Lonchura striata: one gene and its partner. The protein of the gene in region 2 interacts with the protein of the main gene of each other region in a pairwise test. Links are inferred from orthologs where the notes say so. Each region holds a gene or a part of one and is shown on either strand. Other genes may lie near its edges.

Region 1 (10,044 bases), on a different chromosome or scaffold from region 2:
CCACCTACAGCCCATGAAGGACCGTGGTGGAGAAAATAAGAGCGTGAAGAATCCTTGCCCTGAGGAAAAAGCAGCAGAGACAACATCTGATTAACTGACCAAAACCTCCATTCCTCAACCCTCTGTGTTCTTTGGAGATAGGAGGTTGAGAAAATGGGAGTGAAGTTGAGCCAGAAAGAACGGAGGGGTGGGAAGAAGGTGTTTTAAGAATTTTGTTTATTTTCAATTACCCTATTCTGATTTGATTGGTAATAAATTAATTCATTTTCCCCACAATGGTAATGGCTGAGTGGTCTCTCCTTGTCCTAATCTTGACTCACAAGCTTTTTACTTTCTACTCCCTGCCTAATCAAGGGGAACGACAGAGCGCCTTTGGTGGGCTATGTTAAATATTTAATAAATTAAATAGATTTTCATTCTAAGTACTACACAATAAAAACAAACTTAAAGAGATGTCCTCATCAGGGAAGTAATAAATATTTGTGTGCATTCCTTTTTATATATTAAGCATGTCACCAAAAATGAATGAAGTATAACACACAAATTTTGTCTGCCTGAATTACACATATGAAATTCAAATCACTCATAGATTAATTCTATTGACAAACTTTTTCCACCAATCCCCCATCCAACAAACACATATCTATTCGACAAATCATAACTATGTAAGCGGAAACTGTAAGTATATTTCCAAAACTAGATGCATAGAACAGCAAAATTTAATAGATACTACAGAAAGATGTCCAAGTATTATTTTTAAAACAAGTTCCATTTCCATGAATTGCAGTGATTGTCCTGGAAATGAAACTTTTTTTTTCCTCTCAGGTTTTTTTATTTGCTTGAAATTTGAGTGTGGAAAAATAAATCATCTCTCTCCTCTCTCCAAAGCCAATACCACTATCTGCAATAATAGCAGCAGCTAACTTTGAAGAATGTTGAACACATCAATATTCTCACAAAATCTAAGAGATATACAAAGCAAATTCAATTACTCCTATTTTAAAAGTAAAATCCATTCTCTTCATCAATGGTTAAAAAAGTGTTTTAACTAGCATATCAAAGACAGACATATATACCCAAAAAAGACAATTCAGAAGAGGTAAATTATTACCTAAAGTAAATCCTTATGCAGCAACTAACAATGTTTCCATTTCTTTTCAGGTATTGTGATCAATTGTCACTCTGCACTAAAACCAGTGAAGCTCTCCCCTAGGTGATGTTGTAAAGCATGAAATCCCATTCTCCTTAATATGGAAAAGTCTGTGAGCACATACGAACACATTTTTTCAGAAGTAGGTAATGGTTACTTGTTGGAGTATGCAAGTTACATTCTTTGCCTGCTTTGTTGACACAATTTAGATACAAGCTAATTCTGACGCCTAACATTTAAGGGCAACCGACAAAATTTTAAGAGAGCCTTAGTGCAATTTGGCATCTCCCTCCACCATTTATTTCTACACCTTTTACTGCACCAAGTAACTTCTCTCTCCAAGTGTTGATCTGTGGACAACATTATGAACACATCCCATAGAAAAAACATGTTTCAATGAAAGCACATCTTGATTTATTTGACAGCTCGAAAAAAAGGAACAATAAGGAGAAACTGAACAGACCCAGAAAAAAAAAAAAAAAAAAAGAAGAAGTGAACTGAGGGAGGTCCTGGCATTTGTTACGTAGCATTCACTAATTTAGAACAGGTAGGCTGAATGCCAGGAGAAAGGAGGTCAGTAAGACCATGTGACTGCTTAGTAATTAGACTTACTCAATAGTGCAATTACACAAAAATATTACTCCCTGATTGTTACATGACTGTTTAAAGAGAAAAGTTAATTAGAAAGCACCTATGTGTTAAAGATTGCTATTTACCAGCAACCTATTGTGTGTTATATTTAACACACATTTGTTAATATAAACCATAACTGGTGACCCTGCAGAATGACAATGACAATATTCTAACAAGAAGCTGAACCTCCTGGTTTCTTGTATTCTTTCACCATTTTTCCTCATGTAGATTGCATTAGTCATAGTTTGACAGAGAAGAGTTTTGCCCAGGGCAGTAGGACAACAAACACTTGGTGTCAATCAACTCAAATTAAGAAAGGACCACTGTAAATTCACACCAGGAGGTTAAATTTGACTCACCTTCCTACTGCTGAAGGGCTTCTGCTCCTAGTCTCAAATAAAATGTTTCTCACTACAACACCCTACTCAACAGGCACGCAAGCAAGGATTTTGCTCACAGTGATCAAGTGAAAAAGAACATTAAATGTTTTTCCATTAATTATAAGTGCCAAATAAGACTGGGAAACTAAAAAATTGCATCATAGATTTTGTGTATACTTACTGGGAATGTATGTGTCAGCACTGGTTAAAAGCATCTCATTAAAATCACTGGAACCTAACGAGGATTCATCCCAAACCAGTAACTGTTCATTTAAATAAAAACTGACTGAGAAGCAACTTAATAAACATACAGTTTTAGAAGTCAGTTATTCTATAAAGCTATTGTACTTTTAAACTTGAAAAAAACCTGACGATTTCATGAAACCAGGCTCTGAAGGCAGCAACATTTCCTACTCAAATCCATGTGCAGCATGTCCCTTGGCGGTATTTGAGTACCAGGAGATTGCTCGATGTGCTTTGGACAGGGGAGTTGTAATCTACCCCAAATTCAGTCCCTCTAACCAGCAACAAAAACCAGGCATTTTTCTTCAAATGCAAAATGTAGTGGGAGGACTACCTGCCTTCTTAAAGATTAAAACACTGTTTGAGTAAACCAACCAGCAATACATCACACACAGATGAACTCAAGGACTCTATTACCTAATGATAATATTACACAGTCACTGAAGATCCAGGGCAATAGCACTGAAGACATGAACTTCCTTCTGCTAGAACCAAAGTTCACATTTGTCTATCATTCACTAGCTCAGAGAGTACAACCAAAAACTGTTCAGCATTTCAACTGCAGGGCACATTAGAGACCTATGAAGTATTCTTAAGACATGTGATTTCCTTAACACTTAAGACTTGTACCAGTTGTCCACATTCTTTTAAAACTTCAATGGCTGTTCATGTTTCACCCACAAAATTCAGTGGCTGTTCATGTTTCACCCACAAAATTAATACCTCTGAGGCTCTTCAGTAAGTCAAAATGTTATTAAAAAAACCTTATCCCTTCAAAACAAAAGTGAGTTAAGTCTCTTATAAAATAAATGTACATGATGAATCTCAGATAAGGGAAGTATCTAACAGTTATTCCCAAGTTATTTTTGTCAGTGCGAATGAAATAATCATCAAGTTAAAGTCTACAAAAAGCATCTTTAGTATTTTCATCTCTTGAAAACAAGAACATTGTAAGGAAAACCTCTCAAAATCTGAAAAAAAACCAGAAACTCAAAACCTCCAAAGGTAAGTTACCTGGCTGGTAAAGTATAAGCTAGGATACAAATTATTAAATCTGAAAGGAACAATCCCTCAAGTAAACACAATTGAAACCTGAAGTTTCTAAACTTTGTCATTCGTCTATGATGTGGTGTTAAGTTTCATTGTGCTTGTTCCATAATTAGGCAACTATTCAGCATTGTAGTCTGGGCAGGCTAAGTTCACTAGCATTTCAAGTTCCTGACATTGGAGGGACAGATGATACACAGACCTTACTGCATTATCAAGCATTTTACAAGGGTAACAATTTTCAGATTCCTAGTGATTTTTTAACTAATCTCACATGACAAGCATGCACAGAAGTCCTATTAACCTCTGCCTTATGGTACACATTTAGCATGCAAGCGTCAGTCACAGCACCATAGTAAAGTTCATTTTTATATCGGGTAGGAAAATTACAACTGGCTTGATGGTGTAGGAATAAATCCGCACTTTCCAGAAAGGGACACTGCACACCGAGCCAGCCCGAGTTCAAGGAGCATTTAGAGAATGCTCTCAGGCACACGGTGGGTTTCTTGGGGCTGTCCTATGCAGGGCCAGGTGTTGGACTCCACGATCCTCGTGGGCCACTTCCAACTCAGGATATTTTGTGATACCCTTCCGTGCAGGAACGCTACTTTGAAAAAGTACTTCTGGGCTAAGCGAGCAGCTTCACAGTTTCTCCAGGACGGTGTCGCCCTGGGGTTCCCGGCTGCCCAGAGTTCCTGAAATGGCGCAAACCCACTCCGGGCTGCTCCCCACAGGGTTTTCCGCCCGGCAGCAACCCCGCTCTGCGCTCCAGCGCTCGGGCACTGACCCGCCACCCTCGGGAGCGAGAACAAGCGCCCCCCTCAGCGGGAAGCCACAGCCCACCGCCCCGCACTGCGCCGCGGGCTTCCCGGTTCCGTCTTCCCCGTCCCTCCCACGTGCGCCGCAGCCCGGGCCGGCGCCGGGCTGGATATGTAACACCGCCGGCCCGCGGGGCGGGCGAGCGGCCGCGGGAAGCCGGCGCTGGCGGCGGCCCAATCGGGCGCGGAGGGGAGGGGATGGCGGGGAGGCAGCGTGACCGAATACATAACGCGGCATTAGGGCCCCGCAGCGCCCCGCACTCACCGCCACCTGTTGATGCCCACGTTGGAGGAGCCGGCGAACCAGGGGTCCAGGATGTAGACGCAGCGCACCGTGTCGGCGCCCTGGATGCATTCCCGCAGCGCCGGGTTGTCGTGGAGCCGCAGCCCCTTGCGGAACCAGTGCACGGCGTTCACCCCCATGCCGGGTGCGGGCGCTCAGCGGGAACCGCCGCCGCCCGCGGGGCCGTTCATGGCCCGGCGCCGCCGGGCGAGCACGGACGGGCGGCGGGGCGGCCCGCGGGGCCTCGCTGGGACGGCTCTAGGACCCGGCGGACACGGCGGGAGCGGCCGCCCGCCGGGGACGCATCACCCCGCGGAGCCCCCGCGCCGGGGAGAGCGGGGACGAAAGGTGCGAGCGCTGGGTCCGGCGGTGACTGCGGGGCGGTGACGGCGCCCTGGCCGCGGAAAGCGCCGTCCGTGCCGCCGCCGCCTCCTCGCCGCTCGCCCTGTGACTGCGCGGGGCTGCGCCGGCCGCTCCGCCCCGCCCCCCGCCGCCCATTGGCCGGCGCCGCGGCCACGTGACCGCGGGCCCTCACGTTTCTGCGGTGTGTTCGGTACCGGCGGCGCGCGGGGCAGGGAGGCCCGGCCGGGCGGCCCCGCTTCCGCGGCGGGCCGGGGGCCCGCCACCCCGGCGGCAATCCCGCCCGCTGCGGCAGCGCGGGGCCGGCGGGCTGCGCCGGCGGGGGGCGGGGCCCGGCTCTCTCCGCCACCCCCCCCCCCCCCGCGGCTCGGCTCGGCTCGGCTCGGCGCGGCGGGACCCGGATGAGCACGGGGCCGCGAGGCGGCTCTCGGCAGCGCCGCTTCCGCCGGGCGGCGCCGGCGTGCGCGCGCCCCCGAGCCTGTTATGTATCGCGGCCCGCGCGCGCCCGGAGCCGTGCCCGGCGGTGCCGCCGCACGGGCGGGGCGCTTACATAAGCGTGTGCGCAGGGAGCGCCTGCTGGCCCAGCGGAGCCCCGGAGGGCCCTTCCCACCCTGGCGGTTCCGTGACGAGGGACGAGGGCTCGTTGCTGCCCGGTGCCGCCGGGACGTGTCGGTCAAAAGGCACCCCCGGGCAAGAGAAAGCGGCTGGGCCGTGCGGCGCTGCCGCACCCAGACAGGCTTTCAAGCAGCTGAACGAGTTAAAATGGTCTCTCTTAGGGCACCGTTAGGAAAGTCATTACTAAATGGTGAATTTCTCACTGTTAATTACAGAGCTCAAACAAACCACCGTCTGTGCTGCCAGCACAGCGGGGTTCCCGGACCGGCTCCTTGGTTACGGTGCGCACGGCCAACAGCCGACGGAGGCATCGCACTCACAGGACTCACAGGGCAGCTCTCGATGCAGATCTGAAACTAAACCTCCACTTGTGGATTGCAGTTCAAATCTACAGCGTCACGGACAAGTGCATAGCAACAGCAGGAGTGGTCTCATTAGAAAGAATGTCTCAAGTAAAAGGCAGAGGACCCAAATCAGCAGTACAGACCTTTCTTAACTTTGAGAATTCCAGACAGTTCTTTAAGAACGGTCATTTTTTTCCTTCTCCTAAAATATTTTTTTCTGCTAAGACCCACAGAAAGTAAAAGTCAACAAGAATAGACACATGCATCGTGTGTTTCCCTTTGTGCTTTTCTTTCCTCACTTTGAATGACCTAATAAACACAGTAATAGAATCACACAATCATTTAGGTTGGAAAAGAACTCTGAGGCCAACTTTTGACTGACACCACCATCTCAGCTAGGCAATGGCACTGAGGGACACGTCCAGTTGTTTCTTGAACAGCTCCAAGGATGGTGACTCCATCACCTCCCTGGGCAGCTCATTCCAATGTTAATAACCCTGTCAGTGAAAAAATTCCTCCTGATGTCCAATTTAAACCTCCCCTTGTGCAGCTTGAGGCTCTGTCCTCTTGTCCTGTCACACCTTGCCTGGCAGACAAGGCCCCACCTGTCCTTGAAAATCAAGGTATGCCAAGGCCCCAGCCAGGATTAGAATCTTTCTGCTTGGTCTTACACAAAATTTCTTTTTAAAAGGTGTAGCATGTGGAGAGTGAACAGTTTCTGAGCACTGACTTTAACAACAGCATAATTATGATGAGTTTCTCAATTATCACTTTGTTGTATGTAGAATACCATATTCCACAGTTCATAATTCTGATTCAAGAAGAACATATGGGATCCTGTCATATATCCTGGCTGCAACTCAGAGCTGGCATAGTGGGGTCATTGTAAAGTCAAACACTGCTTTCCCAGTTAATATAAAGTACATCCTTATTTGTCTGGTGTTTTTTTATTATCATATGCCAAATATTTGGTAAATGATTTTGAAATAAATAAAAACCAAAAAGGAATTCAGTAGTTAATGACCACTGTCCATCAAACTCATTTGAATTCTATAATTTTTGAACACTGAAGAAGTAGATTCCTTATTTTTAAGGAGAGTCACTTCACAGCATAGTTTTTATTTCAAACATTTAAATTGCTTTTCATACTCATTAAGTGTCCTGCTAGCTCCCCACAAGGCTGCCACACTGAAGATAGCCCTAAATAAAGTCCAGCATCAACCAGTCTGCCTTCTTGGGAATACTGGAAACAGCCCTTCCTCACTAGACCTTATGGTTTCATAAACAAATTGCAGTCATGAAAACCATCAGTCTCTAAGCTCTTTGTTGCTACAGGCTGAATAACAATTGCAGTATATCAATAGCATATAATTATGTAAAATACTCTTTGGCTCTATCTGGCCATGCCTTCTATGTGAGACAGTTTGTTCCTGACTCAGAAATGAGAGAAAGAACATATTAATGTATAATTAATATTGTATTAGGATATATTAATATATAATAGATGCAGACTATATTAATTAAAATGTCAGATCTCAAGGGAAGAACCACTCTAACTTAGCTGAAGTAGAAAATAGAACGACAGTTAATCAAGGAACTCACAAAAGTAAACCTCTCTACAGTGTTCTCATGTGACTAATTTTTTTAAACAATATTGCTAATTTAGCCCAGAAGGGGAAAAAGATAACATGAAGGCATGAAGTGAAAAAAAAAACAAAAAAGCAAGTGTACAGTACCTTTTGTGTTACAAATTGGAAGCTATTTTTTTAGATGCATGTTTTTAACATTACTATATGCATTATATTCACGGACTTTGTTAACTGTTCTAGAAACAGCTGTTATTTAGGAGACCAAGTTCCTGAACCCTGAACCCTGTTCCTAGAGCAGAAGTTTCTTCCTATAGCATTTCTCTTCTTCATCAGCTTTTTTTTACAGACCCAACAGAGACTACTGAAGGTGTAGCTGATACAAGAAGGGTTCACGGAGACAACAGTAGTGATTTTTCACTCTCTGGAAGATGTGATTGTGCAGACTTGGAGTTAGTTAAAAAATCCCAACACCTCTAGTAAAATATTTCTAGTCTAGAAATAATTTAAGTGACTGCTAATTTGTTACTCTAGATGAGAAAGTTAAGTAGATATGGCTAAAAAAATAAGATAGAAGAAGATGGTTCTCACCATCAGAGTTCAATGAACTTCTGAAAAGCCACCAGCAAAACAATGTAAGCCCAATGACTAGATGTGAACTTAATTATGTAATAAAGTAGTGGCCATATGAAGAAAATACACTGGTGTAAGGCAAGCCTCCCATCATGATATCGGCATTATTAAATCAAAAGGATCATCTGCTTCCTGTCAGAGGAAAGGCACTCGAGTAATCTGACTTAAATGTTCCATCCTTTGCTATTATATTACTGAGAAATTACTATCAAAACATTTCTTTCCTATTCACCCCACTACTTCTCTCTGCAAGCTGTTTTAATCCAACGGCCTTTCACTCTCCTACTGCCGGCCAAGCCTGCTTCTCGAGCGGCGGAGGCTGGGCCGGGTCGCGCTGCGGCTCGGCCACGTCCTCCCGCGCCGCGGCTCAGCGCGCCCCGCCCTGCCGGCGCTGGCACGGGCCGGCGCTCCCGGCGCGGCGGCGGCGAGAACGGTGAGCGCGGCCGCGGCAGCGGGGCTCGGGGGCCGGAGGGGCCGGCTGGCGTTCCGCTTGTCCCGCTCCGAGCGCCGGCGCTGAGGGTGGGCGGGCGGCGTGCAGGGGAGAGAGAGGCCGCGCTGCTCCGAGGGATGCGGGGCGGGCGGCGTGCAGGGGAGAGAGAGGCCGCGCTGCTCCGAGGGATGCGCGGCGGGCGGCGTGCAGGGGAGAAGCCGCGCTGCTCCGAGGGATGCGGGGCGGGCGGCGTGCAGGGGAGAAGCCGCGCTGCTCCGAGGGATGCGCGGCGGGGAGGGACCCCCGGCCCCGGGCCCCCGTGCCGGCCGCCGGTGGCTGCGGCAGGAGCGGCAGCCGGGCCTGCAGCCGCTTCTCCCGTGCTGGCTGCAGGAGAACACCCGCCTCCTGCCTCTCCGCCCCCAAGCGGAGTCCAAAGGGTGGGAAAGGGAGGCCCAGGTGGCAGGGCTGTGGGAGCAGGCTGTGCCGGAGACCCTCGTTTTGTCTGTGCTGAAAGCACCACCACTTAATGACCAGTGGTTTAAATAGTGTGGCGTGTCCTTAAGAACTTTTCAAATGTCTTTTCTTTCCTGGATGTAAGGAAAAGCTTTGCCCCCATGAGGAAGTTGAGCAGTGGAGCAGGTACCCCACAGAGGTGGATGGGCTCCATCCGCTGAGGTTTTAAAGACCTGACTGAAAAAAGCAGCCTGGATCCTGGAGACCCTACTTTGAGCTCTTGAGATCCCTTCAAAACTGGATTACTCTAGGATCCTCTGCATTTTTTTCTAGAAAGCTTTATGTTGGTCTAGCATGTATTTTATAATAATTTACCTAATTTCCACCACTAATCAAAACAGGGATTAATTTTTTGTAAATGCATAAGTGTAAACATTAACTGTGCATTAATCTACAAAACTGCAACCTCTCACCACCCCAGATTTCTTCACAAACCATTCAAACCCTGTCTACACTGCTGTCTTCTAGGTAGATACCTACTCTTCTAGGTTCACTCAAAGTTCAATCTAGGCATTCGGTAGTTTCATTTAATTCTTTACAGCCTACTAAGTTTCCCTGTTATGAGAATTGTAGCGGTCAGCAGTCATACGGTTGCCCTCTTTACTGAAAGATTTTGTGAACAACCCAGCATGAGTAAAAGTTTGGGTTTGCTAATTTTCAAAAAGCGATACTTAAAAAATTCATATTCAGAAATTCACATGAGGGATAAATCAACCAATTGATCCCTTTATCTATTTCCTATAGAAGATTTACATAGAAGTCTCATTAAATACTGAAACTTACAGCACCCCTTTACTGTGTATATTCAGGTCTCTGCAAGTGTGCTAGCAAGCAGGATCACAGGTAACTTTGACAGTAGCTCACTTCCTTATTGCTGTTCTAACACTTGGTGGTGAGAGGGTGCTGCAGGCAGTGAGAGCAAGCATCTTATCTGAGCTGGCTGGGCTTTTTTCCCTTAATCTCCCAATTGCTTTACAATCCCCACAGCAATCTAAGTATGTGAAAAGTT
Region 2 (10,440 bases):
TCTACCTGTAAGAAAAATTAAGTGTTAAGAATTACCATGGTCTGCTCAAAAATAGTTGGAAGTAAAACAAAAGTCTTTCCCAGACATTTTGGCATACAGATGAAGTTTTTTTTCCCAGCACCAAATCCTGTCAGGATCAACGCTGGCTCTGCTTGTACTGAACTTCTGCAGAATCTCCTCATCCTCTTGCCCCAAGAAATGCTTTCTGTATATTTCATGTAAACAGCATGTTGAGTCACTACCCCTTCAGCATCCTCAATAAAATTTTCCTTCCTATTGGGAGAAAATTAAGGAAAAATGAAAACCATATTCCATGCTTATATATGTTGTGGAAGGTAAACTTAGCCTCACTTCTGATTGTGTTCTACAAGCAAAGTTGTCTAAATCGGATTACCAAAATCGTAAGAGAACTCATAAGGCTCCTCTAGGACTACCACACACTACTTCAGCAGCAGCAGATCACCAGCACATCTGTACAAAAACTCTCACATACACAAATTCTCATAACTTCCCTTTCATATGTGGATAAGCAGGGAAAAAGTGCACTTCAGAACCACTGCCTGGGCAGATCACAAGAAACTCGGTGTATTGCTGCCGTCCCTTGGTAACTCCTCGGGAGGGACAGAGAACCAAGTAAGAGGATCCCGTGGTGGTGCAAACCCAGCGCAGCCATTCAGACCAAGATCCCATCTACACCTGAAGGTCGCCCAGCAATGCAAAGCACAGGCCCGGAGCCTGCCCATGCCGCAGCAGCGCTGGCAGGAGGGCGCCACAGGCTGCAGGGGCGTGCCCGGTGATGTGCTAAGCCGCTCAGCCGCGCAGCAATCCCGGCACGGACAGCCCGGCATGCGCGCTCCCATGTGTTCGGTGCCTGCCTACTACACACGGCTGCTGGCTCCCGGCAGAGTCACTGCAGAGATCTCCACTCGCTTCACAGACACTCAAAGCATCCCACTCTTCCTCATTCTGGTCGTCTCTGCCACACTATTTCACAAAAGGAGCTTGGGGCTGCAAGAAATCCCAGCAAGAGATGGCAAAACTATCACCCTCTGAACTGTGCTTTTGACTGCCACCTTCTCTTTTCCCATGTCCTTTAAACATACTTCACAGAAAGAAGTCTAAAAAGAAACACCCTCATCCCCTCACAACCAAAGCTCTAAGTGTCAGAAGGCAGAGCCCTACAAGCAAAGGGAATGTAACTTTTAAAAAGTCAGTTCTACTTAAGAAAAGCCTTCTGCACTAACAACAACCAGTAATATTGCAGCCTGACCCCACAGCAGGGTTTAAGTTTAAGGAAGCAGTTAAAGCAGGAAAGCAGACAGACACTTTCTACACAGGACACAAAACAGCAGCAGCATTACTTTCAAACCAACGCTTTCTGCATCCAACTTCATCCATAACCAAAAGAACAAGTAAAAGCCCTTTTGAGTAGCACAACAGTATCACAAAGAATAATACTGGTATTAATTTACTCTGTTGCTGTTCAGTGCTTAACAAGCTAAGTTAACATAATGAATATTTAAGCAGTTTAAAACTTGCACTACAGGGATGTAACTGAATGTGGAAAGTATGAATGAAGTAAGATAATCCAGTTAAAAATCTCAATAATCCTCCATCCTTACAGAGGAATTCTAGGCCATGCAATCAAAACTGGAGACAAAAACTCCTTCTCAGAAACACCTGATTATCTAATAATTATAATGTGGTAATGTTATGAGTATAATACAGTGTCTACAGGACACTCATGCCAGCTATTACACAAGGCCTTACTAAGAACATGACGTTCCTTTTAACATAGGCCAGCCATAGCAACCCAATGGAAAACACTGCAGTTGATCTAGACTAATGATAATTTACTCGTTCTACTGGCTACTGGTAATCTTCTTGCTTTTAAACCGTAACAAATATACCTCATCCCATGGTAACTTGTTCATTTCCTTATTCTTTCAGAGGTGATTTTTTTTTTAATGCAATAAAAGTTTTTTTTTTTTAATGCAGTAAAGCATATTCTAATACTGTAAAGATGTTAGAGAAATAAGGGTGAGGCAAGAACCCAGGAAAAAGAAAACTGTTTATCAGTCTGTATCTAAGCCAAACACTTCCTGGTCATAATAAATGTCTGAAGTAGAAGAAACATCCAGAACTCTACTGCCAATCACTTTCCCCACTTCACTCTATTCTCATACTTTGAGACTAAACTCCATCAATATCTCCATTTACTAAAAAAGTTTATTACTGTAAGAGCATATTGTTCAAGGAGAGGTTCGAGGAAGTTTATCAAGTAAGCTGTGTTGTTAGACACTTTACAGTCAAATGACTGGAGGAAGAGAAAGCAGAGAAGGTATTATGACAAGAATATGCTGGCTCTTCAATGCCTCTATGTGGAAATCTAAAATGAATAACAGAAAATTGTAAAAATGAGGATTACTTAGATTTTCACCGACAGAATTTGTTTGCTAAAATGAATATAGAAAGTCTATAACAAGTCCCACCAACGGACAAATAAAAAAAAATTCCAGCAAAACCATGCAGTCTTTGAATTATAAACAAAATAAAAAAAACTTGCCAAATATGAAGAAGTGCATAAAAGAAAAAAAACTATTTCTATGTCTTTTCCTTCTGAACTACATCAAGCCAAACCAACAAAGGATAGACTATCCTCTTTCACTGTAGTGAAAGACACACATTTATGACACCCAACTAAAGTATCTTCTTTCTGCCTTGAAATACACACTTGAAATGGCCAAAACCTGAAGGTTTTGGTTTACTTTTCTTCTTCTACTCCAGGCCAAAGGCCATCTCTTTTCCTCTGTGTGTTACTAGTGAGGTGAGCAACCTCCACAGTTCAGAATCAGGACTCCACACCTCAGGACAGTGTTGTCATCTTCTCAAGACTAACATCTAGCTTTACATGGAGCAAGGACACAGTCCAGTCCTTCAGTGAAACTTCCCCACTTTGCAGAAATCATGCAAGTTTCAAAGACAAAGGTAAAACAGAAAGAACATAAAAGCACTCAAACCTGTACAAGCATAAGCAAGAAGGAACTTGATGTTACAGTGCAACAATGTGGGCACTCTCCCTAACACAAATCAAACTGTGGCTGAAACAATACTGGCAACTTGGAATGTTTTCTCACCATACTAATCAGGTTTTTACTCTACTTCTGACTTGATATATACTCTTACCACTAGAATCACTAGATAATTTCCACTTCTTTCCCTTTACTTGTGATAACTATTCAATCTCAGATATCCAAGACAATAAATCTCAAAGTCTTGCATTTGGAAAAGAAAGACATGAGCTTATAAGGAAGATGGAGAAAGACTTCTTATCAGGGCATGTGGTGACAGGATGAAAGACAGTGGTTTGAAACTGCAAGAGGGTAGATTTAGATTGGACATATGGACAAAACAGTTGGACTTAAGGATCTCAGAGGTCTTTACAATTCTTAATGATTCTGTTTCTTTGATCTGAATCAGTGCACAGTCTCAGCCAAGTTACTTTTTCACTGGAATACACTTGTGAGGCACGGTAGTTTCCCAAGTACCTGGGACCTCATACCAACCTCCTGTGAGGCCTTTTTAAGCTCCTATGGTACACAGAGAAATGCTGTCCCTTTATTAAATACTTACCCTATTACGAAAAGTCAAATGTAAAGCGTCAGCTTGACTGCTGCCACGCTGCTCACCAATTTGCATGAAACTGTACTTACATAAAGGGTTTTGTAATCATGCATGTAATACTATGCACTAATGTGAACAGCAGCACAACCACACGTCTCAAGGAACAGAGTGTCTTACAGGTACATGCAACACAAGAAACAAATGGACAGCACCTGTTGCCTGCTCTACCTGTAGCTCACACATCTCGGCAGCGCTGAGATCGGTTCCTCGCTGCCTGACAGCTCCTCCCGCGGAGCAGCCCGCCCGGCCGGCGGGAGCCGGCTCGGTCCCCCCGCACTGCCGCCCCGGGGTCCGCGCGCTCCCCGCCGGTTCCCCCGCTCCGCGCCCCTCGCACGGACGTGGCCGCAGCCCGCGGCCGGCAGGGACGGCGGAGCGGAGCCCGCCGGGGACCGGGTCCGGCCCCGCCGCCTCCTCCCCCGCTCCGGGCCGGGGCCAGCGCCGCCCCCCGGAGAGCCCGGTGCCGCCCCGGCCCCGCGGTGCCCCCGCTCCCGGACGGGCGGGGGCCGTGCCGCACTCTGCCCCGCACCCCGCCCCGGGAAGCGACTCACGGCCGGCCGCCGCTTCCCTCGCTGCGGTTTCACGGGGAGCGGGGGGGGCGTGTCACAGCCGCCGTTCTGAGGGAGCCCCGAGTGCCCCCTCCCCGGCGGGCCGGGGCCGGCAGCGGGACGGACCCCGGGGAACGGGAGCGCCCCGCGCGCGCAGCGTCCCAGCAACGGGAGAGCCCCGGCGCGCGGGTTACGTAACCTCGGCCCGGCGGGCGGAGGAGGCGGGGGAACCCCCGTGCCCCCCGCGACCGCCGCTCGCCGCCCCCTCCCGCCGCTCCCCGCGGGTTCCCCGGCCCCTTCGGGCGGCGCGGAGCGCGCCCGGCGGGCCCCCACTCACCGCGCGCGGCGCGTCCCGCCGGCCCGGCGCGTCCCGGCTCGGGCTTCATACGGGCAGAAACGTGACCGGCCGCCGCGCGCCCGCCCCGCCCGCGCGCCCATTGGCCGCGGCCGCCTGACGCCAGCGGGACGCGCGGGCGGGGGCGGGGCGCGCGCCGCTGCCATTGGCCGCGCGGGCCGCCGCTCACTTTACATAAGCCTCACGTGTGGCACCATGTTTCCACCGACAGCCGCGGCCGCCTCCCGAGCCTTCCCCGCCGCCGGCCCGCCCCTCCCCTCCCCCGCGCCGCCGCCACCACCGGGGCGCACTCACCGCCGGCCCCTTCGCCGCCTCCCGCCGAAGCCGCGGTAGCTCCGTTCGCCTCCGCCCGCGCCCGCCGCTACGGGACCGCCGGGCCGGGGAGGATGGATTGGGGGCCGGTGGTCACGTGACGCCCCCGGGGAGCGCGGCTCCGCCCCCGCCCGCTCGGAGCCGCGCGTGACGTGTCGCGCGCGCGCGCGGGCGGAGACCGTTGGCGGCCGAGCCCGGAGCGGGCCCGCCCTGAGGGCGGCGGGGCGGCCTGGGGGGTCACCCTGAGGGGTCACCCTGCCGGGGTCACCCTGCCGGGGTCACCCTGAGGGGTCACTCCGAGGGGGTCACCCTGAGGGCTCACCCTGAGGGCTCACCCTGCCGGGCTCAGCCCGCGGGGCTCACCCTGCCGGCGCTTGCTTCGCTTACATAAGGCAGCAGCGCCCGTATCCCGTTTCCCGGTGCTGCCGCCCGCGCTGGGTGCACGCCCTGAGGTTTCCAAAGTGCCCCCGCGTATTGTTCAGGCTGCGCCGGGTCACAAAGCAAAGGGCAGCGCAGCAGAGCGTAGGGCTGCAGCTTTCTCCCGGACCGGCCGGCAGCATCAGTCTGAACAGCTACAACCATGATTGATCTAAGAATTTCCGAGCTCTTAAATGTATGTACTGTTCTCGGCAACAGTATTTCTGCATGGTGACACGTTACCATACAATGGCTTTCCATTCCAACTGTTTAAAGAATTGTGTTTAAAAACTTCTCTGTTTAAAGAAGTTTTTCAGCTTTTGTTGAATCAAAACTTTCAGAGACCATTGACACTTCCCATTTTACAGTAATAAAGAATTTAATGAATTCTTATACATCAGTCACACAGGTTTGCGCTCAGGCCCCTGCACCATCCATCCAACACTGGTGCGAGAACCTGAGTAGTTCAGTGAGATAACCCAATAATCCTCTGCTGAACACCTCGGCCCTGCTCCAGTCTCCACATCTCCCAAGGCTAAGCAGAGCAATCGGTAAGTGAGAAATTCATGTTACTTTATGTGTATTCTGAGTTTCCTCTGTCTCCGCTGTAGTAGATGACTTTGCAAAGAAGGAGCAGAGAATGTGCCAAAGCCACATTCGGGCTGACAGCGTTTTACACTCACTGCATGTATGCAGTTGCTCCATAGGATGAAACACCGGACAACCATCAGGGCTTCTACTGTTTATCTGCAAAATGAGGTTAATGCCACTTCCCTTCCTCACTGCAGTGTTAAGGATAAGTCCATTAGATACACAGGTATTTATGCTCTGACTGTTACAGAAACAGCCTGTGAGTAAAGGACTGTGCAGTATTTAACTGCTGGAGAGGAGAGGGGGTGGGCAGCGGAAGCATTAGAACCAGATTCTGCAACTGGATTTGTTGCAACGCACAAGTCAGCTTACCAGGATACCATTCTTAGTTTGCGCTCCTCTGAGGAGTCTAATTTTAAGATTAATCCTAATTAGGCAGTCTTTATGTAGTTTGGTCAACTTGTTGTTGGTAGGTCTTCACATCCAGAATTTCATTGTCTTTTTGTCAGTTCTCTGCTTTAGGATTAAAGGGATGTAGAATAATATTCTTGGTTTCCATGGGATGTTGTTTTTCGTGTTACATGCCAAAAATACCCATCCCTCTCTGTGTGCTGAGGGCTTTAGTCTTTTAGCACAGACTCCAACTAAGGCACTTCAACCAAAGCGAAACCTTGAGATCCACACTGTCCCACACCCCATCAGATCACAAATACGAGAAGGATGGCAAACCATGGCACTGTGTTAGAGCTAAATGAGTTCCCAGGACACACATTCCCCATTGCAGCAGGACATGCCAGTCCTGGCAGAAGAGTAACCCCCACCACCACAAATAGCCAGTACCTTTCCCACCCCGGTAACTACCAGAGGCATTACTTGAGTTCTGCTTATTTTAAAGGGATACTAATCAGCTGTTTCAGTCACACTTATGGGAATGATTTTTAAGTTCTGTTCATACCACCTTTTAGTAGTTACAGCTTTATATTTAATGTAGCAAAAAACATGGTAAGCTGTGTTACTCAAAATGTGAATTTGAGTTCAGTCCAAATTCTGCAACTTCCAGAAAATTGGCACAAGATAAATCATGTGTGCAGATACAAATTATTCCAGGCATCTCCAATTTGAAATGAGTGCGTGCACATGGCTTCTGAAGGAGTGAATATTGCTATTGACTCATCTACTATGGAACAGAGCAAAATAAAGTTATTGCAAAATTTTATGGGTTCTACACGTTTGTTTTTAAGGTCACTTTGTCTGGTAGGCAGGAGTAAAATACATATATGCACACACAAATGGTTCTAAAGAACACAAAGCTTGTAAGAAAAGCATTAAAATGCTGGTGTTTTTTTTCCCCAGCTTTGTTTATTTTGTGTGCGTGTGTGTTCAGCTGTAACTCCTGGAGCATGGCAGTACAAATGTGTGTGTGTGTGCACCAGGTCCCCGCTGGCACTGCCCCAGCTGGCTCTGCCCGGCGCGCTGGGGCGCAGCTTCCAGCGCTGCCCGGCTCCCTCCTGCGGCCCCGCGGGAAAATGCCGCTCCTTGGGGGTTTTCTGTGCAATCCCGCTGCTTCCCGCACTTACATCAGTAGTTTTTTAGGCACACACGCAAATGCCGAACCTTTTCCCAGCATATATAAAAAGTAGAATTTTTGCTTAACTGAAGCAATTCAGTCTGATAAGCAGCAACTTATTGACAGTATCTACATTTTTAAAGGGGGAAAAAATCCAAGTCTTTCAATATCGAAAAATAATAGTTTGAGACCACCTGAAAAACTACCTGAGGACTGCTTGCTTGGATTTGCTAAGGAAATAAGACTCCTTTTTGAAAAACTGTGCTTCCCTATCCACTTGTAGAAGTCGCCTGTTCAAAGATACTCCACAGCACTGACGGAACTGTGTATTATTAAAAAAAAAAAAACAATCAATACTTTACAGCTGGAACCCACGTCTAATTCTTCATTTCCTAGTCTTAATTACTCACCATTTACACTGACGCTGACAGTCATTGATTCTTGCAAAGATCCGGAAAGGCTTTTTTTGCTAATGAGCAAAAGTCGTCACTCTTACTCTCTGTGCAGACAAAGGAGGAGGAAAGGAAAAAACCCATTTTATTCATTACCAGTAAATATATGGACAGGTTTTTCTAAAAGCATTGCAGGTGTAGGAATCAACTGCAACAAATAGACAGAAATATCATACAGTTTTGAAAATGCTTTCATTAAATGTAAAGGAATGTAAAAAACATTATAAAGAACTTCAACTCAAGCAGCAAGTTCCTGAAATATGCTGCAGTTCAGAATTCCTTTGCACAAGTGTCTGCTTGTCACCAGACAGAAAACCTTTGCTAACAACTTCTGGGGAGAGCAGGTTTTCATTCTGTCCCTATTTTTACTGTTTTCTTGCTATTCTTATTAAATTCAGTTTCTCTTGGCAAATGCAGTGTAATTTTATGTTCCAAATATCTTGAAAAATGACACATGAAGGAGCCCTGAATTCTTCTTTTAGAAGGATACAAATGGAAGGGGTGTATCTCCCCCCACTATACCTCTATGTGCTTATCCACAAGCCCATGAGCATGATTTTAGTCCAGGTCTGAGATCCTGCTGTTTAGTGTGTATTAGCAACTCATTTTCTGCAGTCAGCCACTCAGAAAGCTGAATGAAGAGAACTTGACATTGAATTCACTGTGCTGAATAGGGGTTTAAAGCTTCCTGCATAACTCAGAGAGTGATAGTTTGTGATTTCATGATCTGCCTAAGGTGATCAAAGTCCTTAAACATCCACCAAGAGGAACAGTCCTACCACCTCCACTGAGTTAAAAATCAGTGATTATGCAATTGTACTGGTACTTAGATTAGGAAACCGACTTGACTGAAAATATCCCATGAAAGAAGTTTTTGGTTTGATTACATCACAGCTGTGAGAGCACAAAAGCCAAACCAAAACGGGATCAAAGAACATATTTTGAGCTGGAGTGAGGATCCAAGACCAAGAAGAACACCAAATTATAGAGTTAGGCACTTAAAATGAAATTTGCATGTCATTAGATTAGCATAAGAGAGTTAATAAGAGATGCCAGGCAGGAAAGTGCATCCTCAATCCTGCCTACTGTGTTGGATTTAGACATCCTCTTCTGCCCTGAAAGAAAGTGATTACGTCAGGTTGGGCTTCACCATTCAAAAGCATCCAGACACTTATGCCAAAGACAGCTTTCACAGCATTTATGAGCTGATCTAGCATTTCACTTCCATCAAGGGGTTGGCACCACTGCCACCAAGTACTCATGGCTACGTGGTCTTGACTGTTCCTTTTCCCACTCTGCTGCTTCCTTGGGACCTCAGCAAGCCAGTTCCACTGTTAATCTCCCAGAAAGCTCCTTGGGTTTGTTTCCTGCCTGTAAGCTGCTGAATATTCCTTGGTGAGAAAGCACATTCCCAAGTCCAGATATGCCATGGATAGGGCATTGAAAAGCTCTTTTAATGGCAGTGAGACTTTCCACAGCTTTTGATACCAGATGCTCATACCTTTCTGGATTAAATGTGCCCGTATTTAGAAGGTGTTCTTGAGACATCCAAATTCTTCAACAGACATCTGAGCATCCAGGCCTAGGACATGGTTCTGTACCTGTACCACTGTGTATTACAACCCTTGCCTCCCCACTGGTTCCTAATGCACACGCTTTGCAGTGATTTAAACTCTGTATTTGCTGACCAGACTCAGTTTACTGCCCCCCATCTCATTTATGCGCTGCTTTCAGGCTCACGGCTGCAGAGTGAAATGTTACCAATCTCTTAGAGAAATTCAGTGAGAGACATACCTTCCTTTACAGAGTAAGGGTAGAGAGAAAACATCTGGGTACAGACTTCCCCACCAGTGAGCATTTATACAATTTTTATTAAATAATCATTACATAAAGTGTTGGATTAGGTCTTGGCATGGGATTGGAGCTGGACTTGTTCACAGGTAAACTGACAATCATTGTCCAAGGTAGTCGTGCTGCTGCTCTCAGCTACTTGGAATCAAGGCACCTTTCCTCCTTGCTTTGTTTTCATTCTGAACAAATATGATAACATTAACAGACTATAACAGAAACATTTGCAAGAAACTGGATGCTAAATGGCGAACTAACCAGAAAGGTGCAGCACACCGACTGCCCTCCCTGTCACAGTCACAGGCCTGACCCCAGCCAGACATTCAGCCATTCCTTCCACAACAGTACTAATTATAGACCGGTGATTTGTACTTGTTTAGGAAGGAAGAGCCAAATTTTAAATGGGAAAGAGTGTCTTTCTGTATAATTCTGGAGAGTGTTTCTTAATTAAAAACACTTCATTTTCAGATTGGATTTCCCATTACTCCTCTGTGTCAATTAATTTTCCGGCTTTCGTTCACACTTGAGCTGTTTTGAACTGCTCGCTGCTGCTACTGAAGTCAGCGGAAGCTTGCGTTTGTTTTCAGGAGAGGGTGTTTAGTGACTGCCTGAGTTTGCTTCAGGAAGAAAACCCGATGTACCTGGCCACACTACTGGAAACAAAGCAGG

The links.
Region 1: the proteins of PER2 (region 2) and CRY1 interact in a two-hybrid assay, tested with the Homo sapiens proteins (5 studies listed by BioGRID, with this or other methods). The link is inferred for Lonchura striata from reciprocal best matches to the Homo sapiens genes PER2 and CRY1.

The regions. Positions count from the first base shown.
Region 1 is NC_134607.1:20,961,717-20,971,760, reverse strand, and holds the start of CRY1 (cryptochrome-1), read right to left. Parts: upstream 4,810-10,044; 5' UTR 4,695-4,809; coding exon 4,537-4,694; intron 1-4,536.
Region 2 is NC_134612.1:2,126,561-2,137,000, reverse strand, and holds the start of PER2 (period circadian protein homolog 2), read right to left. Parts: upstream 4,988-10,440; 5' UTR 4,879-4,987; intron 4,667-4,878; exon of another isoform or gene 4,567-4,666; intron 1-4,566. UniProt on the Homo sapiens protein: Transcriptional repressor which forms a core component of the circadian clock.